Linked DNA regions of Struthio camelus. The protein of the gene in region 1 interacts with the protein of each later gene in a pairwise test. Links are inferred from orthologs where the notes say so. Each region holds a gene or a part of one and is shown in the gene's direction. Other genes may lie near its edges. The genes, in order: ADAMTSL4, HOXA1, FLNA and PRKAB2.

What was found.
Region 2: the proteins of ADAMTSL4 (region 1) and HOXA1 interact in binary tests that used the Homo sapiens proteins (3 or more experiments, as listed by UniProt). The two-hybrid records come from large-scale screens. The link is inferred for Struthio camelus from reciprocal best matches to the Homo sapiens genes ADAMTSL4 and HOXA1.
Region 3: the proteins of ADAMTSL4 (region 1) and FLNA interact in binary tests that used the Homo sapiens proteins (3 or more experiments, as listed by UniProt). The link is inferred for Struthio camelus from reciprocal best matches to the Homo sapiens genes ADAMTSL4 and FLNA.
Region 4: the proteins of ADAMTSL4 (region 1) and PRKAB2 interact in binary tests that used the Homo sapiens proteins (3 or more experiments, as listed by UniProt). The link is inferred for Struthio camelus from reciprocal best matches to the Homo sapiens genes ADAMTSL4 and PRKAB2.

Annotation. Positions count from the first base shown.
Region 1 is NC_090971.1:2,664,640-2,672,648, reverse strand, and holds the start of ADAMTSL4 (ADAMTS-like protein 4), read left to right. Parts: upstream 1-5,004; 5' UTR 5,005-5,081; intron 5,082-6,824; 5' UTR 6,825-6,903; intron 6,904-7,698; 5' UTR 7,699-7,745; intron 7,746-8,009. Other genes in the region: ECM1 (extracellular matrix protein 1), read left to right, coding at 941-1,001, 1,346-1,429, 1,703-1,998, 2,108-2,491, 2,603-2,823, 3,133-3,220, 3,302-3,478. UniProt on the Homo sapiens protein: Positive regulation of apoptosis. May facilitate FBN1 microfibril biogenesis.
Region 2 is NC_090943.1:39,094,300-39,101,366, reverse strand, and holds HOXA1 (homeobox protein Hox-A1), read left to right. Parts: upstream 1-4,064; 5' UTR 4,065-4,339; coding exon 4,340-4,949; intron 4,950-5,411; coding exon 5,412-5,767; 3' UTR 5,768-6,826; downstream 6,827-7,067. UniProt on the Homo sapiens protein: Sequence-specific transcription factor. Regulates multiple developmental processes including brainstem, inner and outer ear, abducens nerve and cardiovascular development and morphogenesis as well as cognition and behavior.
Region 3 is NC_090979.1:220,178-227,516, forward strand, and holds the start of FLNA (filamin-A), read left to right. Parts: upstream 1-4,325; 5' UTR 4,326-4,340; coding exon 4,341-4,725; intron 4,726-7,339. UniProt on the Homo sapiens protein: Promotes orthogonal branching of actin filaments and links actin filaments to membrane glycoproteins. Anchors various transmembrane proteins to the actin cytoskeleton and serves as a scaffold for a wide range of cytoplasmic signaling proteins.
Region 4 is NC_090949.1:9,239,001-9,246,383, forward strand, and holds the start of PRKAB2 (5'-AMP-activated protein kinase subunit beta-2), read left to right. Parts: upstream 1-4,369; 5' UTR 4,370-4,461; intron 4,462-4,678; exon of another isoform or gene 4,679-4,905; intron 4,906-4,941; exon of another isoform or gene 4,942-5,725; intron 5,726-6,877; exon of another isoform or gene 6,878-7,028; 5' UTR 7,029-7,046; coding exon 7,047-7,208; intron 7,209-7,383. Other genes in the region: flavin-containing monooxygenase 5, read left to right, coding at 439-627, 713-875, 1,404-1,546, 2,219-2,418, 2,540-2,892, 2,998-3,070, 3,348-3,705. UniProt on the Homo sapiens protein: Non-catalytic subunit of AMP-activated protein kinase (AMPK), an energy sensor protein kinase that plays a key role in regulating cellular energy metabolism.

The DNA of each region.
Region 1 (8,009 bases):
CGGTGCATGCACCGGCTGGCACCAGCCCTGCCAAATCCTCCCCTTGGGTCGGTGGCCGGGGGGCCGGGGCCGGGCCCCCTTTCCCCGTGCCTCGGTTTCCCCCTTCTCCCTCGCTCGCCCTCCGTGGCGGGCTCGCCGCCTCTCGGGCCGCGCGGTGGTTTCGGGAGGGATTGTGAAACCCCGCGTCAGGCCGGGCCCCGCTGTCCCCCCCCCCCCCCCCCCGGCCGCCGTTGGGCAATCGCCCGTGTTCGCCCTGTGCCAGCCGCCACCACTTTGGGCACTTGTCGTTCGGCCCAAATATTTGGCTTCACAGCTAGAAAATAACGCCGTTTTCCGTGGGCGGCCGGTGCACCGAGCTGCAGCCAGGACTCAGCCCTCCCCCCCGCTGCGGTCGGGGCCGCGGGGCTGCGTCCCCCCCCCTGCGCCGGGGGGCTAAGGGACGTGCCCGAGGCCACCGACCTCGTGCCACCCGGTGGCCTGGGGACCCTCCACGCTTGTCTGGGCCGTCCCCGGGGCCGGGACCACCGCAGGGGCCAGCCCGGCTGCCCGTGCCGGGAAGGGGGGACGTGATGCACCGGGGGGGGGGGACGGGGGGGTGAATCAGCCCCGCGCGGGGACCCGGCCAGGCTCCGGGGTGGAGCCGCGGGGCGGGTAAACCGGGAAAGGGGAAAGTTAAAACAACAAAAAAAAAAGGGGAAAAACCGGCTTTCTCCTGCACCGCTGAGGGGTGAGTCAGGAGTGGGGGGGGGGGGTCCCGGCCCCCCCCTCCTTCCTCCTCCTCCGGGGGACCCCCCGCGCGTGGGGAAACTGAGGCAGGGCCGGCGGCGGGGAGGGCCCAGCGACGTCAGCCGTGACTCAGCCCCCGGCAGGATGGGCCCCCGCGCCCGGCCCCGGCCCTTCATAAGGCGGCGAGGCCGGCGGCCGACCCGGGAGCGACGCCATGGCCGCCTTCCTCCTCCTGCTCCTCTTCCTCGTCGCGCCGCCGCTCTGCCTGGCCGCCGGTGAGCCCCCCCCCCCCGGCTCCTGCGCCCCGGATGCCTGGGTCCCTAAGGGGGGGGGGGGCTCTGAGGGAGGCACCGGGTCAGGGGTAGCGCTGCCGGCGGCTGAAACGAGCTGGGACGGGTGGAACGAGTTGGCCAGGTCTCAGGCGGGGGAAACTGAGGCCCGGCCCTGGGAAGTGACTCAGGGCCGCGGGGCATGGCCCCGCGGGGCGACCGACCCTCGGCCTCGCGCCCCTTCCTTCCTCCTCTTCCTCCCGGCGGGTCCGGGTGCATGCGGTGGTGGTGGGGGGGGCACGGTTCCCCCCCGCCCGGGTCCGCTCACCCTGCGCCGTCCCCGCGCCCAGGTGCCGGCGCCGAGGCGGCCGCGGGGCCCCGCGAGCCCCCGGCCCAGGTGGGGCTGCTGCTGCGGCTCGAGGACCTGGAGCAAGGTGAGCCCCGGGGGTGGTGGGTGGGGGGACGCGGGGATGTGACCCCTGGGAAAGGGTGGGCGACGCGTCCTGTCCCCCCCCCCGGGGGATGTGACCCCCCCCCCTCCCCGGACGCGTGCCCCAGGGATGGGGGCGGAGGGACGGGGCGAGGGGGACGCATCCAGCAGGGCTGCAAGGACGTGTGTCCCGGGTGGGAGGCAGGGAAATCCCCCCCCGCCCCCAGCCCCGGGACGGGACCGCGGGCGCCCCGCCGTGACCCTGCTCGTCCCGCAGCCCCGGTGCTGCAGCAGGAGCGGGAGCTGGTGCTGCCCGTGCTGCGCTCCCCGGCGCCGTCGGCATCGTCCCCGGAGCGCTGGGGCAGCGACCTGGAGGACTTCCCCCCCGGGCGCCCCGCGGCCGCCACCATCGCCGACCTGTGCCGCCGGCCCCGGCCCCGGGACGCCTTGGGCGACCTGCCCCGCACCGGCTTCTCCCACCTGCGGCGCCAGGCGGACGCGCTGCAGCGCCTCGACGGCCGCCTCGACGCCTGCTGCCGCCGGCCCCAGCCCCTGCCCTGCGCCCAGCAGGCGGTGAGTCCCCTACGGGGGGGGGGGGGGCTTTTTGCTAATTTTTATGTTTATTGCATTTTTGCTGCAATATTATCTTTTTTTCATTATTTTCATTATTTTTGTTGCGCAGTGGGCGGAGGTGCTGGAGGACTTCTGCGCCGACGAGTTCAGGGTGAAGACCAGGCACTACTACTGCTGCAAGAGGAGAGGGGCCGAGCGCGAGCGCTGCTTCGCCGCCGCCGCTTCGCCCGCCCCGCTCGAGCTGCAGCCGCCGCCGGCCACCGCCGCCGCCGTGCCGCCCCTACCCCAGCCCGTTTTCCCCCCCGGCGAGCCCACCGCCGCCAACATCGGTAACATCTGCCGGCTGCGCAAATTCCGGCCCGTCTACGGCCCCGGCGCTTTCCCCCCGTCCGGCTTCGGCGCCGCCAAGAGCCGAGCGCGCGCCCTGGCCCGCCTGGAGCGCGACTACAAGACGTGCTGCCGCGCCGAGAGCGTCGAGTGCGCCCGCGCCGCCGTGAGTCCGGGCCGAGGGCGCCCCGGGGTGGGGGTCCCCCCCCCTCCCCTCCCCTCCCCACCTGGCCGGCGGCCGGGCCGATGCTCAGCTCTCCCCCCCCCCCCCTTGCAGTGGCAGAAGACGCTGGGGCGTTTCTGCGAGGAGGAGAGCGGCGTGAAGACGAAGCAGCACCGCTGCTGCAAGCGGGGCCGGGGCCCGGCCCGCTGGGGCTGCTTCGCCGGCGAGGCCCCGCATCCCGCCTACGACCGCGAGCTGCGCAACGCCAGCCTGGCCCGCCTCGGCCCCGCGCTGCTCGACGCCCTCTGCGGCCCCGCGCGCCTCCTGGCCAAGCAGTGAGTGCCGGCGGGCCCAGGCGTCCGGGCCCCGTTTCCACTCCTCCCCTCCGGGATGTTCCTCCAGATCCCCCACGCTGGCAGTGCTCAGAGGGACCCAGGCGTCCGGCCCCCCCCCCCCCCAAACCGGGCTCCCCCGACGGGGCGGGATATACGGGGCTGGGCCGCCCCCCGGCGGCGCTGGGCGGTACTGCAGGCCGGGGGGGGGGTTAGGGGGTGGCAGCGGGGGGCCCAGGCGTCCTGGCCCCCGCCGGGAGGATCCAGCCCTTGGGTTTACCCCGCTCACGGCGGTTCTCTCCGGCGCCGCAGGAAGCCGGTCCCGGCCCTGGTGCAGAGCATCACGGAGGCGTGCTGCCCGCGCGGCGGGGCCGAGCGCGTCGCCTGCGCCGAGGACCAGGTGAGCGCAGGGCCCCCGCCCCGCCTCCACGCGGGGGACCCAGGCGTCCGGGCCCTTCGTGACCTCCCGTCTCCTCCGCAGAAATCCCGCACCATCGCCGCCCTCTGCTCCTCGCAGCGGGACTCGTGGAAGGACCCCAAGCGATGCTGCGCGCACGGCACCGCAGAGGAGCAGCGCCGGTGCTTCGACGCCAGCTACCTGGCCAGCGTCTTGCTGGCCTCGACGGAGCCCGAGCTGCTGGCCGCGGAGCAGGATTAGACCGTCCGCCCCCCCCCCCTTGGCCATGCTGAGCCCCGGCAGGGCTGCGGACCCCGTCCCGAGCTCGCCGGGGGCATGACGGGACCGGGGGGGGGGGGCTGGGGCTGCACCGCGGCCCCTCTCCTGCCCCGCGACGGCCACGGGCTCCTGGGGCTCAATAAAGCCTTTCCCCGACAGCCCGGCTCCGCCTGCACCCTCGCGCCGCAGCCCTGCCTCGGTTTCCCCAAGGTGCGTCGGTTCCCCCCCACCCCGCCCCGGTGCCTCGGCCCCCCCGGCATGCCGGGGCCGCGGTGCAGGTGTGTCCGCGCAGGGTGCGCGTCTGTGCGGCCGCGTGCAGGCGTGCGCCGCGCGCCGGGGCCTGTTTGCGTGTCGGGGTGCGCCAGCGGCACCGCAGGGACCCAGGCGGGCGGGGTCCGCGGAGGTGGGAGTCCCGCAGGGTGGCGGGTCCGGCTGCGGGTCTGGCCGTGGGTCCGGGCGCACGTGGAGCTGCCCCGTCCCCCCCCACCCTGGTCTGCCTGCGTCTCCCCCTTCCTATGCCCCCCCACGTCCCAGTGTCCCCTGCGGTGTCCCCGTGCCCCCCACATCTCCATGGCCCCGCTGATGACTCCGTGGCCCCTGTTATGCCCCCATGTCCCCCATGGTGTCCCCCACGTCCCCGTACCCCCCATGTCCCCGGGTCCCTGGTGCCTGGCGGGGTCCCAGCGGGGCCGGAGGCTATTTTTGGGCCCTGGTGCTAATTCGGGAGCGTGCCGGGGCGGTGGCCGGATCCGGGGCCGTGTTTACGGGAGCCGCCCGGGAAGAGAGCAGGTCACACCGGGGTTCCCGGCCTGACCTCGACCGCTGCCAGCCCTTCCCGTGGCAGCGAGTTTGCACGGTCTCAGCTCCAAGGGCGATGCCTCCCCGGCCGGCGGTGGCGCCGGGTCCCAGACGCGCCGTCGCCCCAGCCAGCGAGCGGGGGGTGGGACGGGACGGGACTTGTGTCAACACAGCGGGAGCCGCCGCGGCCGCGTCCCCCCTCCCAGTCCCTCCCAGCCTCCCAGTAACCCCAGGGATCCCACGGCTGCCGCGGACCTCCTGGCTGCCGCCATGCGAGGCCTCGTCGAGTCCCAGTCACTAATTGCTCAGCTGGAGCCGCTGCCAAGAGCAGCTCGGCGCAATTAAAAGCACTTCACGGTGCGAGGCCGGGGCCCTGGCGAAGCCCCGCAGAGGGGATTGCTCCCTGGGGGAAACTGAGGCACGCAGTTTTGCACGGGAGACATTGCCATCGCGCTGCCACCGAGGCTGGCGCCAGTGCCCTGGTCCCAGCTGAAGTTTGCTCGTCTGCATCCGGCGCCCCTGGGCCACCCCCCCCCCGGCATCCACCTTTTTTTGCACCTTTTTGCATCATTTTTGGAACCCCCCCTGCCTTTTTGCAACCCTCTTTTTGCCTCCGCCTGGGATGGGGCTCCAGCAGCCTGACCGGGGCAGACCCGGCTCTCACCTTGCCCCAGGGCCGCAGCGGGGTGTGGAGGGGTAAAAGTCGCGTCCCTTTGTGGCTGCTTGCCTCAGTTTCCCCTCGCCATGCATCAGGGCTCCTTGCCGCTGCGGACGGGATCGATCAGAGGTAATGGGGGGACGCGACGCCGGGATGAGCCCCCCTGCCTGCGCGCCACCACGGCCTGTCACCGGGCCCCGCGGCTGGCGTTGGTGGGGACAGGGGTGGCCGCCCCGGTCCTCCCGCTGGCCACCGGGCCGCTGACACAGCGAGGTCACCAGCCTCGTCCCTCACCAGAGAGCCCGGCCGGTGCCCGCTGGGTCAGTGACGGCCGTGGGCTGGGGACGTGGCACGGGCTGGGGACGGCGCACAGCTCGGGGACGGCCGGGACCGTGGGCCGGGGCCGGACGGCGGGTGGCTATGGGGTGGGGGGCTGCGGATGTCCCCGACGGCCTGGCGACAAGGCACGGGCCGGGAGCCCCGCACGAGGCTCGGGGACGGCGCAGGGGTGCAGGGATCGGGCTGGGGGGGGCCGGAGGTGCGGGGCAGAGCGGGGGTCGGGGGCACCCCCCGGGGCCGTGGGGCAGCAGCGCTCCCCCCCCCCCGGCCGGTCCCCCCGGGCGCAGCGCAGCGCAGCGGGGCCGGGGCCGGGCGGGGGCCGGGCCGGGGCTGCGCCGCCCCCGCTCCGCGCCGAGCGGTGCCGAGCCTGGGGCGTCCATGGGGCGGCCGCGAGGTGCGCGGAGCCGGGGACCGGGACCGGGGACCGGGGCGGGCCGGGGAAGGGGGGAGCGGGGCTGGGTCAGGGGCGGGGAACCGGGACCGGGGGAAGAGCACCGGGATCGGCGACGCGGCGGAGAAGGAGCGGGTCGGCGGCCGGGCCGGTAACCGCGAGCGGGGAGGGGGACCGGGCCGGGGATGGGGGACCGGGGACCGGGGAGGGGGCGAAGCGGTTGGCGGCGGGGGTCGGGCCGGGGCCACCCGGTCCCGGGGCCGGGAGCGACTCGATTCGGGCTGAAACTCGCCTTTTTCGGGTTGGGACTGACCCGGTTCGGAGTGGCGGGGGGGGGGGGGGAGGGGGGGAGGGTGAAATTGACCATTTCGAGCTGAAATTGACCCTGTTCGGGATGAAACTGACCAGCCCCCGCTGCCTGCACCCGGGCTGCCGGGGGGGACCGGGCCGGGGCAGCCGCAGCGGCGGCCTCGCCGAGGGGGGGCTGGAGCACCGGGACGGTGAGAGCGGTGTGGGCAGGGGTCCTGGACCGCAACCCCCTTCCCCACCCCGCAGCCCCCTTCCCTATGCCCTTCTGCAGCCCCCAGCCCCTTTTCCCAGCCCTCAAACCTCTTCCCCGCCTTCAGCCCTTTCCCCATCCTGTAGCCCCTTCCCCAACTCTCTTTCCCAGCTCACAACCCCCTTTCTGAGCCCTCAAACCCCTTCCCCATCCCGCAGCCCCTTCCCCAGCCTGCAGCCCCCTTCCCCAGGTCACAAACCCTTTCCCCTGCCTTCAGCCCCTTCCCCACCCCCTTCCCCAGCTCACAAGCTCCTTCCCCTGCTTGCAGCCCCCTTCCCCGTTCCCTTGCCCAGCCCGCAGCCCCTTCCTCATCCTGCCATCCCCCTCCCCAGCCCAGCCCCTCATCAGCTCCATGTGCAGCATCCCTGGATGGGGGGACAACTGGCATCCAGGGGGGGCTGCTGGGTGCCCACGTTTCTGGCCACCAGGACTCTGTCCGCATCCTTCCCTGGCTACTCCATCCCTTTGCTGCCCCGTTCCCCATCCTTCTGTGCCTGGATGCTCCCTCTCTTCGGCTCCCCCTGCCCCCCCCCCGTGCTTTGCCACCCTGGGACCAGCTTTTCCCCCCTTTCCTTCATGGCAGCCCCGGGAGCCCCCAGGCTTGGAGGACCCCAGCCCGCGGCCACCCCTGTCCCCTCAGGCTGTGACCGTTCAGCGAGCAGGTAAGGGGGGGCCGGGGGGCCTCCGGGCTGCTGAAATGCCCTGGGAAGGGCATCTCTCCTGCCTGTGATTGCATTCCCCCCCCCGGAGCCATCCCTGCCGGGCAGGGCAGAGCTGCGGAAACAATGTGCTGGGCGGCTGCTGATACACCGGCCACCATGTGCTCTATTTTTATATCTTTATTTATACAGATATAACAGTTAGGGCTTTTTTCGGGGGTGGGCCGGACGGCCCAGGCGTGGAGGGCAGGCTGCGCGTCGGGCAGTGCCCTCCACATGCCATCGGAGGCACGGAAAAGTCCCCGGGTATTTTTATACCTGTTTTTTTTTTTTTTTTATTTTCCCTCCTCCACCAGGGTGGGAGATATTCCAGCCAGTCTGCTCACATTTTCAAATATAGATAGCCCAGGCAACAAGTGGTTTCTCAGCCGTCTTAACGCAAGCTGCTTTCGTGCTCCTGCGGCTGCCGGGCCTGATCCCGACCTCTCCGTGCCCTGGCCCGCAGGTCGCTCCGGACGGCTTCCCCTCCGGCTCTGCTTTGTGCCGGTGGAAACAGCAAACGGATCCCTTCTCCTCTTCCGCCGTGGCATCCAAAAATACTTCAAATTCCTTCATTTCAAAGGGCTTGGGGCGGGGGGGGGGGGGGAGGCGGACGGACAGACGCAGGGCAGGACAAGGTGACCCGGTCGCTAGCAGGAGCCGGCCGGAGCCGAAGGATCCCAGCAGCAGCCCAGATCTCTGCTTTGCCTCCGGGCTGCCTTCCTCCCCCCCCCCCAACTCTTTCCCCTCCTTTTCCAGTGCTGTTTTTGGAGACCTGGCTGTTTCTTTTCTCCGGCAGCCCAAAGGTGCGTCTTTGTGCAGGGAGAGGATCAAACAGGGAAAGGGGAAAAGCTGAGCAGGCTCCTGCCGGCACAGGGAAGGAGGCGGTTTGCCAGCCCCCGGGCACCGTTTGGGGCCAGAGCCAAGGCTTTTGGCTGCCACTGCTGCTCCATCCCGGACCGGGGAGGTAAAACTGCTGCAACAGCGACCTCGCTGCCTGCCCGGGTGGTCCGGGAGGAAACAGCGGCTGGAGGCTTCGCTTGACTCCGGGAGCTGATGCTTGCAGCTGG
Region 2 (7,067 bases), on another chromosome or scaffold:
TCTCTTTTTTCTTTCTCTTTCTCCCTTTCTCTTTCTCTTTCTCTCCTTTCAAGACTGATAACATAACGGATATTTCTCCCCCTGCCTTCTATTATTAATTTACTAATAATGAAAATTCAACATTCTGACTATAATCTCTCCCCTTTTGGAAAGTACATGTTTTAGAGAGGAAAAAACACTGTCAAACTCTTTATTGCAAGGGTTCTCACAAGAAAAAAACACAAACTAAAACAACTTAGATAGAGGCTTCTTCCTTTTAATATATAAACGTAGCATGTTATCTCCGTGCGGATACAAAGCTTGGATATTCTAAACTGTAACAAAAGCATAACGGTGCACTTTTTTTTTTGTTGCAGGCAAAACATAAGCTAGACTTAGTCGGAAAAGTGTTTCCTGCAGAAACTAGCCTGTTACATACACGAAGGGCTCTTTTCGGAAAAAAAATCCTATTTTTCTAGAATACAGTACTTAGCAGCCAGCAAGCTGTTTCAGGAAGCGTATCTTAAAATATAAAACCTCACAGAGAGTGCGTTTGATTCGTGTCCACGTGCTGAGCGGTCCAAGAAAACAGCCCTAAAAAGAGAGGAAAAAAAAAGTTATTGCCTGCAAAATCAAAAAGGTGCCATAAAAGCATTAAAAAAAAGCATTAGGGAGAATACACCCTCCACTTGCTTATTTTGAGGGAAAGTGCGGGGACCCAGCGCAAGGTATTTTCTCTTTAAACCCGATTGCGAGCGGAATGGCTGATAACGAAAAGGGGGAACTCTTACTTTCCGAGTAGAAATTTCCTCAGGGCTCCCCGCTCTCTGCTTGAGGCAGCAAAGATGGGCGTAAAAAACCTCCAGCAAATTGCCTGCGACTCGCTGAGCGGCATTGCCGGAGCCCGGAGCGGGGGGCGAGCCGTGTCCGGCGGGCTGAAGCCGAGCAACAGATGCGAGCCGGCGGCTCCCGGCTCCGGGGGCGAGCAGAGCCCGAGGGATCGTTGGTCCCTGGCTGTGTATGTCTCTGCGTGTGTGAGTGTGAGTGTGGGAGTGTGAGTGTGCGTGTGCACACGAGAACGCAGCCTGAGCGAGGGTTTGGGGAAAGCACTTCGCTGCCCGTCCGTGCGAGGAGTGCTGTCTCCCAGCCCTGCAACACGTTGTGGAGCTGAGCTGCGTGGGTTATAGCTGGAAGGGCTGAACGCAATTCTTCCGAAAGTCATAAATCAAACTCTTTCTATGAATGAGAATGTCATCAAAGAGATCAATTGCAGGAACACATGCACAAATAAAAATCCTCTTACGTATTTGCCGGGGCTGGGGATCCCCGTCTAAAACCATTAAGTGAGAAGGCGTTTAGTCATAATTCATTTTTATTGCTCTTTTAAAACAACAGCTTGGCTGAGCTGCGGACGCGGCAAAACCTCGGCCCTGCTTCTTGTCCTTCTCTCTGCTCCAGCCCCGGCTCTGCGGAAAGCGAGTAGCCTCACCGGTATTTTAACTCCTGTGGCACTGGGTTAAACTGGATTGCAATGTGCGGGTATGGGCTGGGATTTCTTTTGTGCCTAGATATCTGAATACTGCTAACGCTTAAAAAACAAAACAAAACAAAACAAAAGAAACAAAGAAAAATATGCTACCAGATTTAAACTTTTCCCACACTCGGTTTAAACAAATCGGGCGATTCAGCAGACAGGAGCCGCCTAAGTCTCTCTCGATAAGCCCTAGGGCCATAGCGGGGGTACTGGGGGGTGGGAGGGCATGCGAGATCTCCCACGAAAAAGCCTTAAGCACCGGAATTGCCCCCTTCTCTCCCAGCTCTGGGCAGGAAATGGCACTTTCTGCACCCCGGCCCGGAGCGAGCCACAAAGGGGGCTCGGAGGGGAGAGGGGCCCGCCGGGCGCCTCTGGGAGCGGAGAGGGGGCAGCTCCACTCGGCGGGTGGTGGAGGGGCATTTTTCCCTCTGCTCTGGCCCTCCTTATTATGTTGCCCCCATGCACAGTATTGGCAGCAAAAATCCGAGGCACTGTGAGAGAGACAATGTAACAAAAGAGAGGGATCTCTGCTGAACAATGGCACGAATATACGAGAAAACAAACAAACAAACAAAAAAAGATTCCGGGATGCAGGAGGCTGTAAGAGAGGTGTTGTAATTTGGCAGGATTTACGGGTAAACCCGATCTATTTATAGCAAAATATGCCTTTTTCTTGGCCAGCTGTTGTAAAAAAGCCCTGAAAAGACGCCAGCTCTTTTATTAGTAAACAGTCCCAGCGGCCTGCCTTTTCCTTTGCCTTATGCAGTATTTATCACAACTGCTTTACAAGAATGAAATAAATGTGTTTACATCCGTTACCATAGCCAAAAATGGTGCCGTATAATTCCATAAATGCCTCTGGAGTTTTGTTGTTACTCCTCCCCGCCACGTCCCCACCGGAGTTTAAGAAACCGAACCTTTCCAGAGGGCTCTTACTCATTCGTGCCTGCGCAGTAAATGAAAGCAAACAGAAATACTAAGGGCATATGGTTAAGCATGGGCAGTCCCTCAGTTTTTGCTGGCCGCAGAGAGGCCTTGCAGATGGAGTGGGATAAGGGCTGACCTGACAGCAGTAGGAGAGCCTTGCACCCAGGAGAGGATGTTGTAGTTCAGATGGGAGGAGCTTGTGGGTTTGCGTGTGTGTGTGTGTGTGTGTGTCTGTGTGTGTGTGTGTGTGTGTGTGTGTGTGTGTGTGTTAAGTGTTTGTGAGCAGGGAGAGGTGGCAGGGTAGAGAAGCTTTTTGGGCTTCAGAAGAAAACAACAAAGCCTGAGAACCTAGCGATGTACGATCGGGCTGGAAATGCACCTGCAGGAATACAGAAGGCAGCTGCTCACGGAGCTGCTGCTGCTAGTGGGAGTATTAGTTCTTACCCATCTCTCCCCTAGGTTAACCTTTCGCAGGACGCCTCTCTGAAGTGTGCTGAAATCGGTTTGTTGGTGCCGTCCCCTCTCCCTACAGATGGATAGGTGCCCTGGGACGGGTGGATGCCCGATCTATACCTCCCCTTGCCTTTTTTGCATACGCAAAGCGAGTATGAGGTCGCAATTCAAATCCCAGCCGCCATCCCTCCTTTTCTACCCATGGACCCTTTTTGGGGGAGGGGGGGAAGGGGGAGTTGGAGTCGATGCTCAGTGCGGTTCCCAAGGGTCCTGGGGCCACCTCTGCCATTGGCCATCTGCCACCTCCCGCCACTGCCAGCCCGGGTGGCGGAGCCGGGACAAAGGGGACGGGGCGGCGGGCTTTGCATCTCCCCGCCGCTCCGCAGCCCCGGCCCCGGGCTGGCGGGCCGCGACCTGCGCCCCCCGGGCAGCTTTCCGCCCCCGCCCGGGCCTAGGGGAGTGCGGGGCGGCAGCAGTGCTGGCAGACGGGTCCCCGGCCCCGTCACCTTGGCGGGCATCTCCCATCTCCCTGCCACCAGCTCCCCCTCCCCTACCACAGCCCCAGGCTGGCGCGGGCGAGCCCGGCGGAGGTGTGGGGGGAGCGGGGAGCCGGGCCGGGGGGAGGCCGGGGGGCCCGGCCGAGCACAATGGCCGTCAGTCCCAAAAGCGCCTCATTTCCATGCTAATGTCCGCGGCCGCCTGGTGATGCGGCTGGACAAGCCCCTTTAACTCTTGGCGGCGCGTCGCGCTGGGCTCTGCGGCGGGGCAGCAGCAGCAGCGGGAGTGCCCGTCCCCAGCCCCGTGCCCGTGCCCATCCGCGGCCCCGTGCCCGTGCCCGTCCCCAGGCCTGATGCTCTCAGAGCCTGTCCCGGCCTCCCCCCGTGCCGTGGGTCCGGCTGCCGCCCCGCCGCGGCTCATGCCCGGGAGAGAGAGGCGGCGGCGGCGGCGGCGGGGGGAGGAAGTGGGTCGAGGGTGCCGATCGCCAGCCTGACAGCGCCGGCAGCAGGGGAGGCGCTGGGGCAACCCTCGGCGGGGACGCTGCGGCATCACTCACCCTGGAGGGGACGGCCGGTGGGCTCCGGGGCACGGGCGCAGCCGCCAGGCTCTCTGCTGCCTTCCCCTCTCGACGGGCGGGCGGGCGGGCGGGCGGGCGAGCGGGCCCCCCCCCCGGGGCGGCCACCGTGCCCCGCGGCGCCGCGCCGCGCCGTGCCGCGCCGTCGGAGCGCTCGGCGTTTAAATGCCCCCGACGCGGCGATCTATCAGCGGCAGGAGCCGGGAAAGTCCCGCAGGCGCCGCAGCCATTGGCTGCCGCCCCCCACGTGCCTCCCCGCTCGCTGTACCTTCGTGTCATTTTCCTCCCGGCCCCATGGAGGAAGTGGGAAAGTTGGCGCGGCCCCGCCGGACGCTGAAGACCCGGTGGCGGCGTGACAGAGGGACACGGCGAGGATGAGCTCCTTCCTCGAGTACCCCGTCCTCGGCGGCGAGGCCGGGGGCTGCGCCGCCCGCGCCTACCACCCCGACCACGGGATTACAACTTTCCAGCCCTGCGCCGTCAGCGCCGGCAGCTGCAGCGGGGAGGACCGCTTCCTCGTGGGCCGCGGGGTGCAGATCAGCCCCCACCGCCACCACCACCCCCCGGCCCAGCCCGCCGCCTACCAGCCCCACGGCGGCCTGGGGGTCTCCTACTCGCACGCCGGCTGCGGCCCGACGTACGGCGCGCAGGGCTTCGGCGCGGCGTACAGCCCCTACCCCCTCGGGCAAGACGCGGAGCTCGGCGCCGGCTTCCCCCCCTGCGCGCCCGCGGTGTACTCGGGCAGCCTCTCCTCCGCCGCCGCCGCGCAGCACCCGCACCAGGGCTACGCGGGGGGCCCCGCTCAGTACGTGCACCCCCCCTACGGACAGGAGCAGCAGAGCCTGCCGCTGGGCACCTATAACCATGCCCTGTCTCCTCTCCACGCCAGCCACCAGGAAAACGCCCGCTCCCCGTCCGCGGAGACCTCGCCGCCCGCGCAGACCTTTGACTGGATGAAAGTCAAGAGAAACCCACCCAAAACAGGTTAGTCCCCGGCTGCAGGACGGGAGGGCCTGAGGAGGGGGGGGGGGGCGAGCTCCTTTCTCTCTCTTCCGTCGGTAAAGCCAAGGCGAGGCAAAGCACAGCCCCCGCGGCCGGCGGCGCACAGGTGTCCCGTCCGTTTGCTTTGCAGGTAAAGCGCCCGAGACCCCCGAGAGCAGCCGCCGCCGTCTGCCCGCTACGCTCAAAGTCAGCGCTGCCTGTGCCTACCCCCCCCCCCCCCCCCGCGGTCATATTTCTTGTAATTCATAAACCACTTATCAAGTTTCCTCTGACACTAGAGGCTGAGTCCAGTTTAGCACCTCGCACTCCATCACTCACCCTGCCGGGGCTTCCCTCTTATCCTAAGAAGTTCTTGCTCCCTATCGCTTAGCCGGTGTGGACACATTGATTACGTCGCCTATAAATCACTTGCGCTTACTTAATGCTGGATGTCCCCTTTTGCAGGAAAGGCTGGCGAGTACGGCTTCGTGGGGCAGCCCAACACGGTCAGAACTAATTTCACCACCAAGCAGCTCACAGAACTGGAGAAAGAGTTTCATTTCAACAAGTACCTGACCAGGGCCAGGAGGGTGGAGATTGCAGCCTCCCTGCAACTCAACGAGACGCAGGTCAAGATCTGGTTCCAGAACCGCAGGATGAAGCAGAAGAAAAGAGAGAAAGAGGGGCTGCTACCCATCTCTCCCGCCACCCCCACGGGCTGTGAGGAGAAAGCGGAGGAGTTATCAGAGAAGTCCTGCTCGTCGCCCTGCACTGCCTCGCCATCCTCCTCTACCTCAGACACTCTTGCTACCTCAAACTGAGACGCACCTGGGTGCTCCCTGGCTTGGACTCGCGACTCCCAAGCCGCCTCCCTACCGTAGCTCGAACCGATTTAACGCTGTTGTGTGTGTGTGTTGGCTGGTTGGTCTCCTTCAGAGCCCCGGTGCCCCAAACGCCCGCCCCGTCGCGGGCAGCCGCCCGCTCCGCGCCCCCCCGGCCCCCGGGCCTCGGGGCCAAGAGGACATTTTCTCTCTGTTCCCCTTTGGCTGGAGGAGATGTGTTGGCACATGTGTAAGGGTCTCTCTCCTCCGTTGCAAAGACCTTTCTTCAAGTTCCCCCTGAGTGAAAGACAGGCTATCTAGGGTACATAACCTCACGAAGAGATGCACTATTGGAAGTGTTTACACGACTTACAGGACTTTCATCCTTTAATTTAATGTATTCTTTGTTCGCGTCTATGAGTTTGTTGCTTGTAAATACTTTGTCCGAGAGATTTATCTTTTTACAGATTTTTCTAGAAATGACGTTTAGATTATCAGGTTAAGCAGGGTGGGTGCATTCGCAAAACTGGATCCAATTTTATATTGTTAAAGCAGACGACCGTATCAAGTTAAACGTGTTAAGCTCAAGCAGATACCTCAAAGAGTAGCGCTATTTGTTTAAGTGTGACAAACAAGGCTTCAATTGCACTAGGTTTTGAAAACCTTACCCGGTGTGCTTTCCCTCCCCCCTCCCCCGACAGAAGTCTGTGCTGGATTATATTGAACCGAAGGGTATAACTGTCCAAAAGACCTCACCTCTTCCTGTTTTCATATTAACCCTCCTTTAGACTCGACGTCTTTTCAATCTAATCGTAAATGTGACGACTGGCCAAATGAATGTATATTTTATGTGATTCGTGTCTGGAAGTTTGCATGATGCACAGTGCTTTGCTGTACTCCGGGTACACTGAGTTCTATCAGTTGTCGTGTGTGAGCGAACTATCTTCCTCGTCTCCTGTACAATCATCAAAGGCTCTGCGATTCTGGGACTGAGGGAATCCAGGGCACAATCTACGGGTCCTTATAATGTCTGTAATAAATATATTCAACTTTCAGGTATCCCTTGTGTGCGTACCTCTGCGTGACGTCACTGATGAGTCACCGGCTCAGCTCAGCAGTTTACTCTCCATTATTTTCTTCTGATGGGGCCTTTCTCAGGGAGAAAGGGAGAAAGAACATCCCAACATTACTCCTGACGTGTTTTTTTTTTTTTTTTTTTTTTTTTTGGCCGGGGTCAGAGCTCGGGCTGTCCAGTCTGATTCATAACACAAACTTTCTTCCTTTTCTACACTCGAATAAT
Region 3 (7,339 bases), on another chromosome or scaffold:
TGTGCGTGAAGAACAAGCAGGTGCAGCCTTGAGCACGCGTGTTCACATGTGTTGGTTGCACAGGGCCTGATGCAGGCAGGTAACAGGTTTGGGTTTGCACGCCCGGGAGTGACACGGATCCCGGGGTGGGGGTGTAACATGCGTGTTTGCACACCCGGGAGCGACACGGATCCCGGGGCCGGGGTGTAGCGTGTGCATGGCCACGCGTGTGAGCGGCCCGTGGCCATGGCGGGGGCAGCCGCGTGGTGCCGTGTGCGTGAGGAGCACACGCGTGTGCGAGGGCGCTGGAGTGAGCACGCACACGCGTGCATGTTGACACCGGTGCAAGGATGCACACGCGCGTGCGAGGGCTCGCGGCGCCGCAAACGAACCGCCACGGAGACCTGGTAACGAGCCCCCCCGCTAACGAGCCCCCGGCGCTATCGGGGCCCTCGGCCGGAGGAGCCGTTTCCGCCGCTGCCTCGTTTCCTGAGGGCCGGGGGGGCCCTGCCCCACAGCGCCCCATAGCCGCCTGCCTGCCCTCTGGCCGCCCTGCTGCCCCACAGCGCCTCGCGGGGCCTGTTCTGCCCCTTAGGTTGCTCCCCTGCCCCATAGCCCCCCTCCCACTCCATAGCTGTTCCCCTGGGGTCCCCCCATGCCCCATAGCACCCCACAGGCCTTCAGCTGCCCCATAGGGCCCGCTCAGCCCCCCTCCTGCCCCATAGCATCCCCCGTCACCCTCTCCTGCCCCATAGCCCCCTGTGGGATCCCCTCCTGCCCTGTCCTGCCCCAGGGGAGCCCTGCTGCCCTATAGAGCCCCATAGCATCGCCCCCATCACGCTGCAGCCCCCCTAGCCCCCTTCTGCCCCATAGTGCCCCATAGCCCTCTTCCGCTCCATATCACCCCATAGCTGTGTCCTGCCCCACAGCCCTGCCATATACCCTACCTGCCCCATAGCATCCCCCATGGCCCCTTGCTGCCCTACAGCCCCTCCATAACCCCCACCTGCCCCACAGCTCTTCTCTTGCCCCATAGCAGCCCCATAGCCCCCTCCTGCCCCATATAATCCCCATAGTGCCTTCCTGCCCCATAGCATCCCCCATAGCTGCCCTTCTGCCCCAAAGCTGCCCCATAGCCCCCTTCTGTCCTGCATCCCCCCCAGCAACCTCCAGCCCCATAGCAGCCCCATAGCCCTCTCTTGCCCCATAGTACCCCCATAGTGCCCTGCTGCCCCATAGCATCCCCATAGCCCCCTACCTGCCCGATAGTAACCCCAAATCCCCTTCCTGCCCCATATAATCCCCTATAGGCCCCTCCTGCCCCATAGCCTCCCCACTGTCCCCCTCCTGCCCCACCGCCCCTCCTGCCCCACAGCATCCTCACAGTCCCTCTTGCCCCCCCCCCCCGCTGTCCCCACGGCCCCTCCTGCCCCACGGCCCTCCCGCCCCACAGCCCCCCCCCCGCCGCCCCCGGCCCCTCTCCCCCCGCCGCCCCCCCGCGGCCGGGGCGGGGCTCCGCGCGCCCGTTACCAATTAAGGCGCCGCGCGCGCCGCGCGCCCCCCCGGCAACCGCCACCCGCGCGCGGCGGCCGCGCTCCGCCACAGCCGCCGCCGCCGCTCCCCCGGCTCCGGCTCCCCCCGCCCTCCCGCTCCGGCTCCGGCACCGGCTCCGGCTCCGGCTCCGGCTCCGGCGGCTTCACCTCCGCGGGCGGCAGCGGCGCCCGGTCCGGTGAGCGCGGGGCTGCGGGCTGGGGGGGCTGCGGCGGCGCTGGGGACCCCCGTCTTTGGGGTGCCCGGGGGGGGGACCCCGTTGGGGGGGTGTCGTGAGGGGATCTTCCCCGGGGGGGGTCTGGGGACCCCTTTTGGGGAGGGTGTCATTGGGGGGGACCCTTATTGGGGGGTGTTGTGAGGAGATTTTCTCCTCGGGGGGGTCTGGGGACCCCTTTTGGGGGGGTGTCATTGGGGGGGACCCATTTCGGGGGGTGTTGTGAGGGGATTTTCTCCTCGGGAGGGTCTGGGGACCCCCTTTGTGGGGGTGTCATTGGGGGGGACCCTTATTGGGGGTGTCCTGAGGGGATTTTCTCCTCGGGGGGGGTCTGGGGACCCTCCTGGGGGGGTGCTGTGAGGGGATTTTCCCCGGGGGGGGTCTGGGGACCCTCCTGGGGCCCCCGTCTTTGGGGGTGCAGTGGGGAGGACCCACACTTGAGGGGCTGGGGACCCCCCCGGGGGTCTGGGACCCCCCAGGAGCGCTCGTTTTGGGGGTGCCGTGGGGGGGGGGGATACCCTGGTCTGGGCAGCGGCTGCGTCTAGAGCCCTGCTGGGGCGTGAGGGGGCACGATGGGGTGCGGCGAGGGGGCTGCGGGGCAGTTTGGGGAGCCCCCCGCCGCAGGGGTGACGGGGCCGAGGGGGACGGTTTTCAGTGTGACGGAGCAGTTAGGGTGTGACGGGGGATGGCTGTCAGCGTGCTGGGGGTGTGACAGGGGTGGCTCCTGGTGTGATGGAGCGTGTTAGGGTGTGACGGGGAGGACTGTCAGTGTGGTGGGGGTGTGACGGGGTGGCTCCTGGTGTGATGGAGCGTGTTAGAGTGTGACGGGATGGCTGTCAGTGTGGTGGGGGTGTGACAGGGGTGGCTCCTGGTGTGATGGAGCGTGTTAGGGTGTGACGGGGAGGACTGTCAGTGTGGTGGGGGTGTGACAGGGGTGGCACCTGGTGTGATGGAGCATGTTAGGGTGTGACGGGGAGGACTGTCAGTGTGGTGGGGGTGTGACAGGGGTGGCTCCTGGTGTGATGGAGCGTGTTAGGGTGTGACGGGGATGGCTGTCAGTGTGGTGGGGGTGTGACAGGGGTGGCTCCTGGTGTGATGGAGCGTGTTAGGGTGTGACGGGGGATGGCTGTCAGTGTGGTGGGGGTGTGACAGGGGTGGCTCCTGGTGTGATGGAGCGTGTTAGGGTGTGACGGGGGATGGCTGTCAGCGTGGTGGGGGTGTGACAGGGGTGGCTCCTGGTGTGATGGAGCATGTTAGAGTGTGACGGGGATGGCTGTCAGTGTGGTGGGGGTGTGACAGGGGTGGCTCCTGGTGTGATGGAGCGTGTTAGGGTGTGACGGGGGATGGCTGTCAGTGTGGTGGGGGTGTGACAGGGGTGGCTCCTGGTGTGATGGAGCGTGTTAGGGTGTGACGGGATGGCTGTCAGTGTGGTGGGGGTGTGACAGGGGCGGCTCCCGGTGTGAAGGAGCGTGTTAGGGTGTGAGGAGGAAGGTTGTCAGTGTGGTGGGGGTGTGACAGGGGTGGCTCCTGGTGTGACGGAGCGTGTTAGGGTGTGACGGGATGGCTGTCAGTGTGGTGGGGGTGTGACAGGGGTGGCTCCTGGTGTGATGGAGTGTGTTAGGGTGTGACGGGATGGCTGTCAGTGTGGTGGGGGTGTGACAGGGGTGGCTCCTGGTGTGATGGAGCGTGTTAGGGTGTGACGGGGGATGGCTGTCAGTGTGGTGGGGGTGTGACAGGGACGGCTCCTGGTGTGACGGAGCGTGTTAGGGTGTGACGGGGATGGCTGTCAGTGTGGTGGGGGTGTGACAGGGACGGCTCCTGGTGTGACGCAGCATGTTAGGGTGTGATGATGCAGTTTTTGGCTTGACGGGGTGTGACGGGGGCGGCTCCCGGTGTGACAGGGCAATTCCTGGCATGACGGGGTGTGACGGGGATAGCTCCTGGTGTGATGCAGCATGTGAGGGTGTGATGGGGGCGGTTCCTGGTGTGACGGGGTGTGATGGGGCGGTTCCTGGCTTGATGGGGTGTGACGGGACAGCTCCTGGTGTGACGGGGCGTGTTAGGGTGTGACGGGGCAGCGTCAAGGTGTGACGGAGGAGCGCTAAGGAGGCTCTGAGGACGCGTGTGGGGCTGGGAGGGTCCGAGGCGTTCGGGGCGCCCCCATGCCGGGGGGCGTGACCCCCCACCCCCCACGGGGCACCGTCCCGCCGGGGTGACTCAGCGCGAGGACCCAGGCGTCCGGGCTGTGGGGGAAGGGATCCCACCCCCCCTCGCGGTTTTGGGCCTGACTCAGCATCCGTCTGGCGCTTCCCCGGACACCCGAGGCCTCGGCACCGCCGGGGCTGGGGGGTGTGCAGGGGGGTCCCCAAATGGGGGGGCATCGGGGAGGGTCCCAACCGGGGAGCGCGGGGGGGCCCAGACTGGGGGGGGGGCGTCGAGGCGGGTGGGGGCTGGCGGGGTGCCCCCGGGGCCCCTCGCTCACTCCCTCCCCGTTCCCCCCAGGTCGGCGGCCCCTTTAAGCCGCCGCCCCCCCCTCGGCGCGCAGGCGCGGCAGCCGCGGGGGGCGTCGCCCCCCCGCCCCCGCCCCCTTAAAGCCATGAGCGCGGCGGGGCGCGCGCGCGCGGAGGAGGCGGTGTCACGCGCGGACGGGTCGCGCGCGGAGCCAAACCGCGCGGCGGCGGACGGCGAGATGCCGGCCACCGAGAAGGACCTGGCGGAGGACGCGCCCTGGAAGCGGATCCAGCAGAACACCTTCACCCGCTGGTGCAACGAGCACCTCAAGTGCGTGCACAAGCGCGTGGGCAACCTGCAGACCGACCTGGGCGACGGGCTGCGCCTCATCGCCCTGCTGGAGGTGCTCAGCCAGAAGAAGATGGGCCGCAAGTACAACGCGCGGCCCACCTTCCGCCAGATGCAGCTGGAGAACGTCTCCGTGGCCCTCGAGTTCCTCGAGCGGGAGAACATCAAGCTGGTCTCCATCGGTGAGGCCGCGGGGGACCCCCGGGACCCCCCAGCGGGACGCGGTTGGGACCGGTGCACCCCAATGCCTGCACTGATAAGGGGGGGCCCATAAGACCTGCCCCAGTGAGATCTCCTTTCGGGAGAACCCCCCAGTGGGGGCCTATGTGAGACCCCCCTTCCCCTTTCGGGAGCCGCCCCCCTGTGGCAGCCCCCTTCCCCTCATGCCCCCCCTTTTGGGAGCGTTTCTCCCTTCTCTGGGAGCCCCCACTTGAGATCCCCCCCGATAGGGCCCCGTGCGAGACCTGCCTCCTGAGTCCCCCCTCTTGAGGCCCCCTTTAGGATCCCGCCTTTGGCACCCCCCCCTTTGGGAGCCCCCTCCACGGGCCCCCTCTGGGCCCATCCCTGCCCCTGTTTGGGTGCCCCCTGAATGGGCCTCGCTTTGGGCTCCCCCCTTAGAGACCCCCAGGACCCTCTGTTTGACCTCCCCAGTAGCCCCCCTTCTGGCTCCCCCCTTAACAGGGACCCCCGCCCGCCCCCCTCCCCCGCACCGGGCCCTCTCCCCGGCCCCCCTCGGCCCCATAACAAAGGCGGGGAGGGGGGGCTGGGCCCGCTCCCATCCCAGGAATGTGGGGGGGGGGGTGCCGCTCGGACGCCTGGGTCCCTCAGTCCTGCTGGGGGGGGTGGGGCCCTGGCAGAGGGGTTCCCGGACGCCTCGGTCCTTCGGCCCTTTTCGCGGGGCCGAGGGAGATGTGGGGCTCGGGTGGGGGGTCGGGGGTCCCCGGACGCCTGGGTCCCTCGGCCCTGCGGTTCCCCACATCCTGCGCCCAGAGGAAGGCTGAGATTTGTGGGCGGCTCCGGGGCCCCACCCTGCCCGGGGGGGCAGCGGGGCCCTAGACACCCCCCCGGGGCCCAAACATCCCCCCGGGGCCCACATTCCTCTGGGTGGGGCTGGGGGTTACTCACCCCCCGTGACTCATCCCGGCCTCGATGCCAGGAAACGGCGGGGGGGGGAACTGTCGGGCCCTATGGGTGCGGGGGGGGGGGCGGGCTGTGGGGCTGCAAGGCTGCTTGTGGACTCTAGGGGAGCCCTATAGGGCTGCGGGGGACCTTGTGGGCTGCAGGGGGGCCCTATGGCTGCAGGGGGGCCCTGGAGGGCTGCAGGGGAGCCCTATGGGGCTGCAGGGCTCCCTTATAGGTGCAGGGGGGCCCTGTGGGGTGCAGGGGGCCTTGTCAGGCTGCAGGGTGCAGAGAAGTCGCTATAGGGCTGTGGGGGGGCCTATAGGATGCAGGGGCATCTCTGCAGGGCTGTGGGGGCTGCTCTGCAGGCTCCATAAGGCCATGGGGGTCCCTATAGAGCCATAGGGTGCAGGGGGAAGAGGGGGCCTCTGCAGGACCCTATGGGGTGCAGGAGAGCCCTATAGGGTGCAGGGGGCCCTATAGGAGGGTGCAGGAGAATGTGTATAGGACTGTATGAGGGCTGTGGGATGCCGAGTGTCCCGGGGGGTCTCTATAGGGCCATGGGGTGCAGAGGGGTCTCTGTAGGGCTGTGAGGTGCCCCTATAGGGCCATGGGGTGCAGAGGGGTCCCTATAAGGCTATAAGATGCAGAGAGATCCCTATAGGGCTGTGGGGGGGGGTCTCTATAGGGCTGTGGGGTGCAGAGAGGTCCCTATGGGGCTATGGGATGCAGAGAAGTCTCTATAGGGCTGTGAGGTGCAGAGGGGTCCCTATAGGGCTGTGGGGGGTCTCTATAGGGCTGTGAGATGCAGAGAGGTCCCTATAGGGCTGGGGGGGGGGGTCTCTATAGGGCTGCGAGATGCAGAGAGGTCCCTATAGGGCTGTGGGGGATCTCTATAGGGCTGTGGGATGCAGAGAGGTCCCTATAGGGCTGTGGGGGGTCTCTATAGGGCTGAGATGCAGAGAGGTCCCTATAGGGCTATAAGATGCAGATAGGTCCCTACAGGGCTGCAGGGGGTCCCTATAGGGCCGTGGGGCGCTGGGGTGTCTGTAGGGCTGGGGGGGCGGGGGGTCCCCGGGGGTCCCGAGTGGGGCGGGGGGCGGGGGCGGGGCCGCCGGGCGGGGGCGGGGCCGTGGGGCGGGGGCGGGGCCTCGCTGGCGCCCGAGCCCATATAAGGCCAAAAAATGCTGGAGCGTCGGGCGGGGCCGGGGGGCGGGGCTGGGGCCACCGTGGGGAGGGGCGGCCCGGGGCTGCCTGCTCGACCCCGCCCCCTCCCCGCCCCCCGCCGCTTTTGGAGGGGGGCGGCGGTGTCCACTCCCCCTCCCCCTGCCCAGCACCTCCCACCCCCCCTCCCACGGGGGAGGGGACCCAGGCGTCCGGGCTGCCTCCCCCCAACCCCCTGCCGGGGCCCCAGGCGTTCCCCCCCCCACACACACACACTCCCCGTCCTGTCCCCCTCCCTGCTGCCCTGTGTGTCCCCGTCCCCCTCTGCCGCTGCGCTGTGTCCCCAAGCCCGCCTGGCTGAGGCCACTGTGTGTCTGTGTCCCTGCACCCGTGGTGGTGCCACCGTGTCCCCAGCAATGCCGTGTCCCTGTTCTGCGTCCCCACACCCTGTGCCCGTGGTGGCACCGTGTCCCCAGCGATGCCGTGTCCCTGGTTTGCGTCCCCGCACCCTGC
Region 4 (7,383 bases), on another chromosome or scaffold:
TGTTCCCTCAGTACAACCTCATGTGCTGACCACATGGGAATGGTCTCCTTTACAGCAGCAGCGGGATAGGACCTTCCTCACAGACTCACTGCTTGGGCCAGCCCTTAGGCCAACGTTCACTGTCCTGGCTCGGCCTTCCCATCCGCCCCTTCCCAGGCTGTTCCAGTTCCAGTTCCAGTCCCCACTCCAGACCCAGGCTGTCCTAGTCCCAGTCCCCTCCATCTCTTCCTGGGCTGTCTTGGTTCAACTGCTGTCACAGCTCCCAACAGCTGCAGCTTATTCCAGCTCCCAGGTAGGGCCTGATAGACCCCGCAGGCACGGCGAGGTACAGGCAGAGATACGCTGAGCCAGATAAGCGCCTGCAGGGAGCACCCCGCAGCCCCGTCCCTTGCCCCTGGGAGTCCCAGCAGGTGCTGAGCGTGCCCACCCATCCCGCAGGAGCACCCCGATGAGGGCCGCGCCAGCATCTACAAGTCCGTCATCATCAACACCTCCAAGGAGATGATGTGCTTCAGCGACTTCCCCATCCCCGACGACTTCCCCAACTACATGCACAACTCCAAGATCATGGAGTACTTCCGCATGTACGCCCAGCACTTCGACCTGCTCCGATACATCCGCTTCAGGGTGAGCGCCGCGGGGCCGGGGGGTGCAGGGTGCCCTGGGCAGGCTGGGCGCAACCTGACGCCCGCTCCTTGCCCCCTGCGCCCAGACCAGCGTGTGCCGCGTGGCAAAGCGCCCCGACTTTGCCGTCACCGGCCAGTGGGACGTGGTCACCGAGAGCGGTGGGGAGCAGGAGTCGGCCGTCTTCGACGCTGTGCTGGTGTGCACCGGGCACCACACCAACGCGCACCTCCCGCTGCACACCTTCCCAGGTACGCTGCGCTGGCTCCCCTGGGCCCACCGCGGGTCTCACGGCCCCGTGGGCCCTTTACCTGCTTCCCAAGGCCTCTCAAAGCACTCGTCTCTTTAGGCTTAGCCCTGACCCCACTGTGCTTGCTGCCAAAAACGCCCCTCGTGGGTTCCTGCATCAATCCCCACTGCAACAAGCTGCAATCCCACCCATTTCAGTGGTCTATCTGCCACGAGGCTCTCACAGTGCCTTCAACATCTGATCAAACTGCTCTGCTCTGCAGGCAGATACTGCTGAATTGTGAAAAGATTTAGGGAATGGGTCTCCGGTCCCAGCCCTGCTCCACAAACTGGGCCATGTCCCACTGACCATCTCCCAGGGTGGAGATGCCACCAGCTCTCTGGGCGCTGTCCCAGGGCTGCATCACTCCTGCTGGTCACAGTGGGCTTGGCTCATTCCCAAAACACATTACCAGCCCGAGCCGGAGGACAGCCACCCCCTCGCCCCGTGGTCCCTCCCTGGCACAGCTCTGCTCTGCTCTCCCTCCCAGGGCTAGAAAAGTTCAAGGGCTGGTACCTGCACAGCCGGGAGTACAAGACCCCGCAGGCCTTCTCAGAGAAGTGCGTCATCGTGGTCGGCACCGGGAATTCAGGCATCGACATTGCTGTGGAGCTGGGCCACACAGCAAAGCAGGTGTGCCCACAGCATGGCTGGCTGCAAACGCACGGGGATGCTGTCCATCTCCTAGGAGAGACTCATTTAAAACCAGGCTGGGCTTTCACCCTGTGCCTGTGCTGCCAAAGCCGACCAGTGGCCAGGCACGCTCCTTCTCCCTCATCTCGCTCCCAGACTATATTTATTCCTGGCCCATGCAGGCCTGTCTGATTTCAGGCCAATGCTGCACTTCAGCTTAAAAGGCTATTCTCCCTCGCTGCTGTGTTTATTTATAGAGAGCAACCTAATCCCAAAGGGTATTGGGGCAAGCCTCCTCCATCGCCTGCAGGCTCCCCTCCCTGCTGTGCCATATCCCTCTGAGAGCATCTCCCACCCCCTTTGCAGAGGGTGGTCGTTGTCACCCTAGCAGCTGTGTCAACAACCCCAACGTCCAAGGGGCACAGCAAGAACACAGCCCTGTCCTCTGGCTGCTGCACAGAGCCTGGAGCCAGCGCATAATTTAGGGGACCACCCATTGACTGGGACCATAGCGGCACCCTGACCCCCTCCCAGCTGATCCCAGCTGCACGGGTGCTGCGCAGGGGATTCGCATGCCTCCACGGGGGTGCACAAAGGAAACGGCTCTCAGGACACAGCTCTTGTCCCTCATGCCACACTTGGCACCTCCACCTCCCCTCTCCTCCCTCCCAGGTCTTCCTCAGCACCAGGCGCGGGGCCTGGGTGCTGCACCGCCTCGCCGAAAGCGGCTACCCCTTCGACTTCTCCTACCTCACCCGCTTCATCCAGCTCCTCCAGAGCCTCGTTCCCCTCTCTGTTGGGAGCTTCATCCTGGAGAGGAAGATAAATGCCCGGTTCGACCACGCGCTCTACGGCCTGCAGCCCCAGCACCGGTAAGCGCAGGGATGACACACGGGTCCTGCACCAGGCACTGGGACGCACCACCCGATGGCCCAGAGAAGCTGCCGCATGCCTGCCCCATGCCCTTTGCAAGGTTTCTCTGTGCTCTTCCAGGATCCTCCACCAGCACCCGACCATCAACGATGACCTGCCCAACCGCATCATTTCGGGCAGGGTGAAGGTCAAGCCAAACGTCCGCGAGTTCACAGCAACTGCCGCCATCTTCGAGGACGGCACCAAGGAAGACGACATCGATGCCGTGGTCTTCGCCACAGGATACAGCTTCTCCTTCCCCTTCCTCGAGGACTGCGTGACGGTGGTGGAGAACCAGATCTCCCTGTACAAATTCATGTTCCCCATCGACCTGCAGAAGCCAACGCTGGCTTTCATCGGCCTCATCCAGCCCCTCGGCGCCATCATGCCCATCTCCGAGCTCCAGTGCCGCTGGGCCACCCGCGTCTTCAAGGGTAAGCGAGCCAAAACAGCGCCCCCCCCCCCCCCCCCCCCCGCGCAGCTATAGCCTGTGGCCCGCAGGCCTGAAACCTGAACCCGCTCGGGCTCTTCCCCTCTAGGGCTGAACAAACTGCCTCCGAGGTGCGACATGGAGGCTGACATCAACCACAAGAAAGAAGAGATGGCCAAGCGGTAAGACCCCGCCGGGAAACGGGGCCAGGCTTGCACGGCCGCCGGCGGTGAGGCAGCCTGCGGGGTCCTGTCCCCTCCCGGCCCTCCCTGCATCCCGCGGTCCCTCCCGCCTTCCCGCACCCGCTGAGAGGGATGTGCTGCCCCGTCCCCCTTCTCCTCCATCCCTGCTCACTTTGCGCCACCCTCAGCCCCAGCAACCCTGCCACCAGCCCTGAAGCTCCCCACTCGGCACGCCCCCAAAATTGCAGCCCTAGCGCCCGTCCACCTCCTCCCGCAGGTACGTGCGGAGCCAGCGGCACACCATCCAGGTGGATTACATCCCCTACATGGACGAGCTCGCCTGCCAGCTGGGTGTCAAGCCCAACCTGCTCACCCTCTTCCTCACCGACCCCCGGCTGGCGACGGAGGTGCTGCTGGGCCCCTGCACCCCGTACCAGTACCGCCTGCAGGGGCCGGGGAGGTGGGCCGGCGCCCGGCAGGCCATCCTGACCCAGCGGGAGCGCGTCGTCAAGGCCCTGCGAGCCCGAGACGGCACCGCTCCTCCCCGCACCACCTTGGTGCCCCACGCCTTCAAGGTCCTCCTCAGCATCGGCCTGATCGTGGCCACGCTCGTCTACGTCTCGCTCTCTCCTTGACCCGCCGACCCAAGGAGACGGGGTCCTGCCCGCGCTCGTCCTCCCTCCCTCCGGGCTTCGGCCGGCACGGAGGAAATCGCCTCCCAGAGAGAAGCTGTCTCGCCTCCCGCCGCCATCGTGGCCCCTCGGGAAGAGGGCAATAAAGCTCGCCCGCGGGCCGAGGGCATCGCTGAGCACACTGTGTGACCTCCTGGGCCGCCCCCGCCCGGTCTCCAGCCCCGTGCCCGGGCCAGTCCCCTGCAGGCCCCGCCACCCCTGGGCCTCGCACCCGGGCCGGCCCTGCCCTCAACCGACATGGCCGCTCCGAGCGCCGCTGAAGCCCACTCGCCCTCAGCCAAGATGGCCGCGCACCAGGCCGGCCGCCCCTAACAAAAATGGCTGCCGCCCGCCCGCTGCCGCACCGACATCTGCTTGAAGCCAGGCCGCCCTCCAAAAAGATGGAGGCTGCCCGGCGGCAAAGAAGCGGGGCTGGGGAAGCCCGTTCCTGCCAGCCCCGCTGGGCCACTCCCGCCGCCGGGCCTGCTCTCGGGGCGGCCGCCCTCTTATCGCTGGGGGCCCGGGCAGGCGCGGAGAGCGGGCGGGCGGGGCGCGGCCATAGAGAGCAGCGCGTGGGCGGGCCAGAACGTCTCGCGGAGGCTGGCGGTGGCGGCCGGCGGGGGGAGGGGGGAGAGGAGGCGGGAGCGGGAGGGGGGTGTCGCCATTTTGGACGGAGGCGGAGAGCGGGGAGGAGGCGGCGGCAGCGGCGGCGGCGGGCAGGTGGGGCCGGGGCGAGGCCGTCGCTGTCCGTGCTGGGGCCGGGGGCGGCTGGTTGCCCGTGGCGCGGGCTTGGCTGGCGGGTGGCCGGGCCTCCCCGAGGGGACGGTTGGGCGGGCGTTACCGCGCCGCGGGGGCCCGCGGGTGACGGTGGCGGGGCCGCTGCGGGCCGGGCCGCGGGGTGCCCTGCTCTGCCCCGCGCCGCCTGGGCCGGGCCCGAGGCCTCGGCCCCGCTGGGTGCGCTCCGCGGATCCCCGATGAGACGCTCTCTTCTCCCTGATTTCCCGGCTTGTCAGCATCATCATCATCAGGCCAACTGAGCTCTTGTTGCGTTTGCTAAGAGAAGGGGGGGCAGGAGAATCCAGTGAAATGAAACTTTCTTGGCTTACTTCAGTGCCAAGAGGCGTCGACGGAGCAGGCTGTGGGCAACTGTCGCCGAACAGCAAGGTGGTCTCCGCTGAACGAATCCCTTCGGATGGCTCGGGCGTGTTTTTTGTGACAGGGTAGCTGGCCCAAAGGAAGAGGGAGAAGCAGTAGGTGTGGTGGGTATAGGAGGGCTTTGTGCACCTCGCCTGTCATTTCCACGAGGAAGCGGGGGGAAGCAGGGGCCAGACGAAGCTAGTGTTGTCATTAGTGACTTGCATGATGCGTTAGAAGATACCTGTGCCAAACTCTCAGAGGATGCTGTGCTACAAGGGGTGGCTGAGCTTTGGAGGATTCAGTTGGTAAAAGTTAGTTCAGTAAAGCGAAGTACAGCAGGCTGTGCTCGCAGAGCACTGAAATGGACTGGCCACAGGAATTTACAAGCCGCAAGCGAGTTGCTGCAGAAGGATGTTGCTGTTCCAGTGCAGCAGCGTGGCTGTGTGCAGGAGGCAGGAGATGCTTCTTGTCTGCACTGAGCTTTGGATGTCACATTTTGGAAAGGAGTAACCACCTGGGAGAAATCTTGGGGAACATATAGAGAATGTGGCCACCGAGGGAGACTCAGAGGGATTGGATTGCTTCTAGAAAAGAGAAGGGGGAGCTTTCAAATCTGAAACAGTCTGCATGTTATCTCTCAGATCTGTTTTGTTCAGCCCTTCTTACCTTGCTGCTAGTAGATGAGAAGTTAAGAGAGTCTTGGCCGAGATAGCGGGCAAGAAATTTCATAATACCACATATAGTTGAGCAGGGGCAGGTTCTATGAGGAGCTGGTTCAGTCTCCTCTAGGCGAAAGGGGGAAGATGTCAGAGCAAGTGGAGCACCTCTCCTGTCCTGGGCTGTTCAGGTACACTTGATCTTAGCTCAGAGGGGGGGCTGTGGTATGTGCTAGCTGTCCTCTCGAGCTATCTTTTAGCCCTAAGGATTTAAGAAATACTTTAGTAATTGCTCTGCAAGTAATGTTCTGAAGCCTGGCTTTGGCTGGCAGCCTCGCCTGGCACCCTACGTATAACCTGACCTTCTAAACAAATCTCAAATGTCACAACTAAGTGTATGAAGTAAGGCTGGCCGTCCTATTGCCTTGCCCACAGAGCTGGCAATCAGCGTAGTATGACTGAAAGCATGTGAGCTACAGAATAAACCTGGGAAAGGGGCAAGGCCCACAGTCCTCCGCTGCTGCAAGTTGGGTAAGGCCTGGAGCAGGCCTGAAGAGACCTATGTAACTTGTGATGGCTTTGTTTGCCCTGAGAGGTGTGTAGTTGTTAGTGGCTTGTTGCCATAGGGCAAGTTCCTCCTGCTTTGCATTCCCTGAACTGGATGAAATTGGGGATGATGCCCGATCTCCACCTGCAGAGCAGTGCTGAGGCAAGCAGGCTTACCTTTCACTCATGATGTGCCTCTGGATGGCCAGCCAGATGTCTGACCGCTCGTGGTAGTGCCGCTGGCGAGGGCTGTAGCAAGCAGACGCCCCTTGTTGTGCTGTGCCGGAGCTGACGTGGCCACTTGCCTGGTGAATGATAAGTGAATGCCATCAAGAGCTGAGCTTTCTGCAGACACCAGGGCATTAGCCTTATGCCTTGGCCAAGCTCCAGCTTGGGCAATTCCACTCAGACTGTTTAAACGCTCCCTGTTGCTTTTGCCAGGCACAAGGCTCTGCTCGTCTGCCCGCGAGCCCTTAGAGAGTTGCTGAGGGCTGTTAAACAGCTGCTACTCTCACTCCTTGGCTGTTTTCTTGCTGGAAATAGAGATTTTGTCTGCAGAGTCTGTTGGGACTATGAAAGAGGCTCTGTTTATGTCAAGCAATTGATTTGCCAATAAAGGTTGGCTTTATTTTTCCCATCAGCCCCTCTGCTATGCTGGCTGGTGAGGGTTGTGTAGGATGCAGTGCAATTTGTGTCTGTTTTAGAGTATAACAATTACCGGGTTGACTAGAGCAACGGCTCATAAGGATATGGCTATAATTAGCTCAAGCTGTCTTGTTTGTTAAATTCCCCTTCAGGTCTCAAACTTGGCAGTGGGAATGAACTTTGAGCCTTTTTTAGGATTGCTGTCAGTCTCCCCGGGCAAAGGATGTTGGGAAACACTGCCTTCACTGCCTCACTGCAGGAGCCCGTGGGCATAGGAACATCGTCATCTTCTCTCTCCCGCAGAGCTGCTGCTGAGCTGCCATGGGAAACACCACCAGCGAGCGACTGTCTGGGGAGCGCCATGGCTCCAAGTCCCACCGCTCGGATGGCTCTGGTGCTCCCCACTCTAGCAAAGAACATCCACACAAGATCATGGTGGGCAGCACCGACGACCCCAGTGTTTTCAGCTCTCATGACTCCAAGGTATGGGCTAGCCGCTGCCTTCCCGGTCCTTCCGCTTGAGGTCCTGGCTGGTGCTTCAGCTCGCCCCTGGGGTAGCTCTGCTGGGGTGGTTCTAGCTGAGCTGAGACAATTTGTGCGGAGTCAGTTTTGTCTGAGGGGGTAGTAACAGCTGACGTGAGAGCTGCTTTGTGTTTGA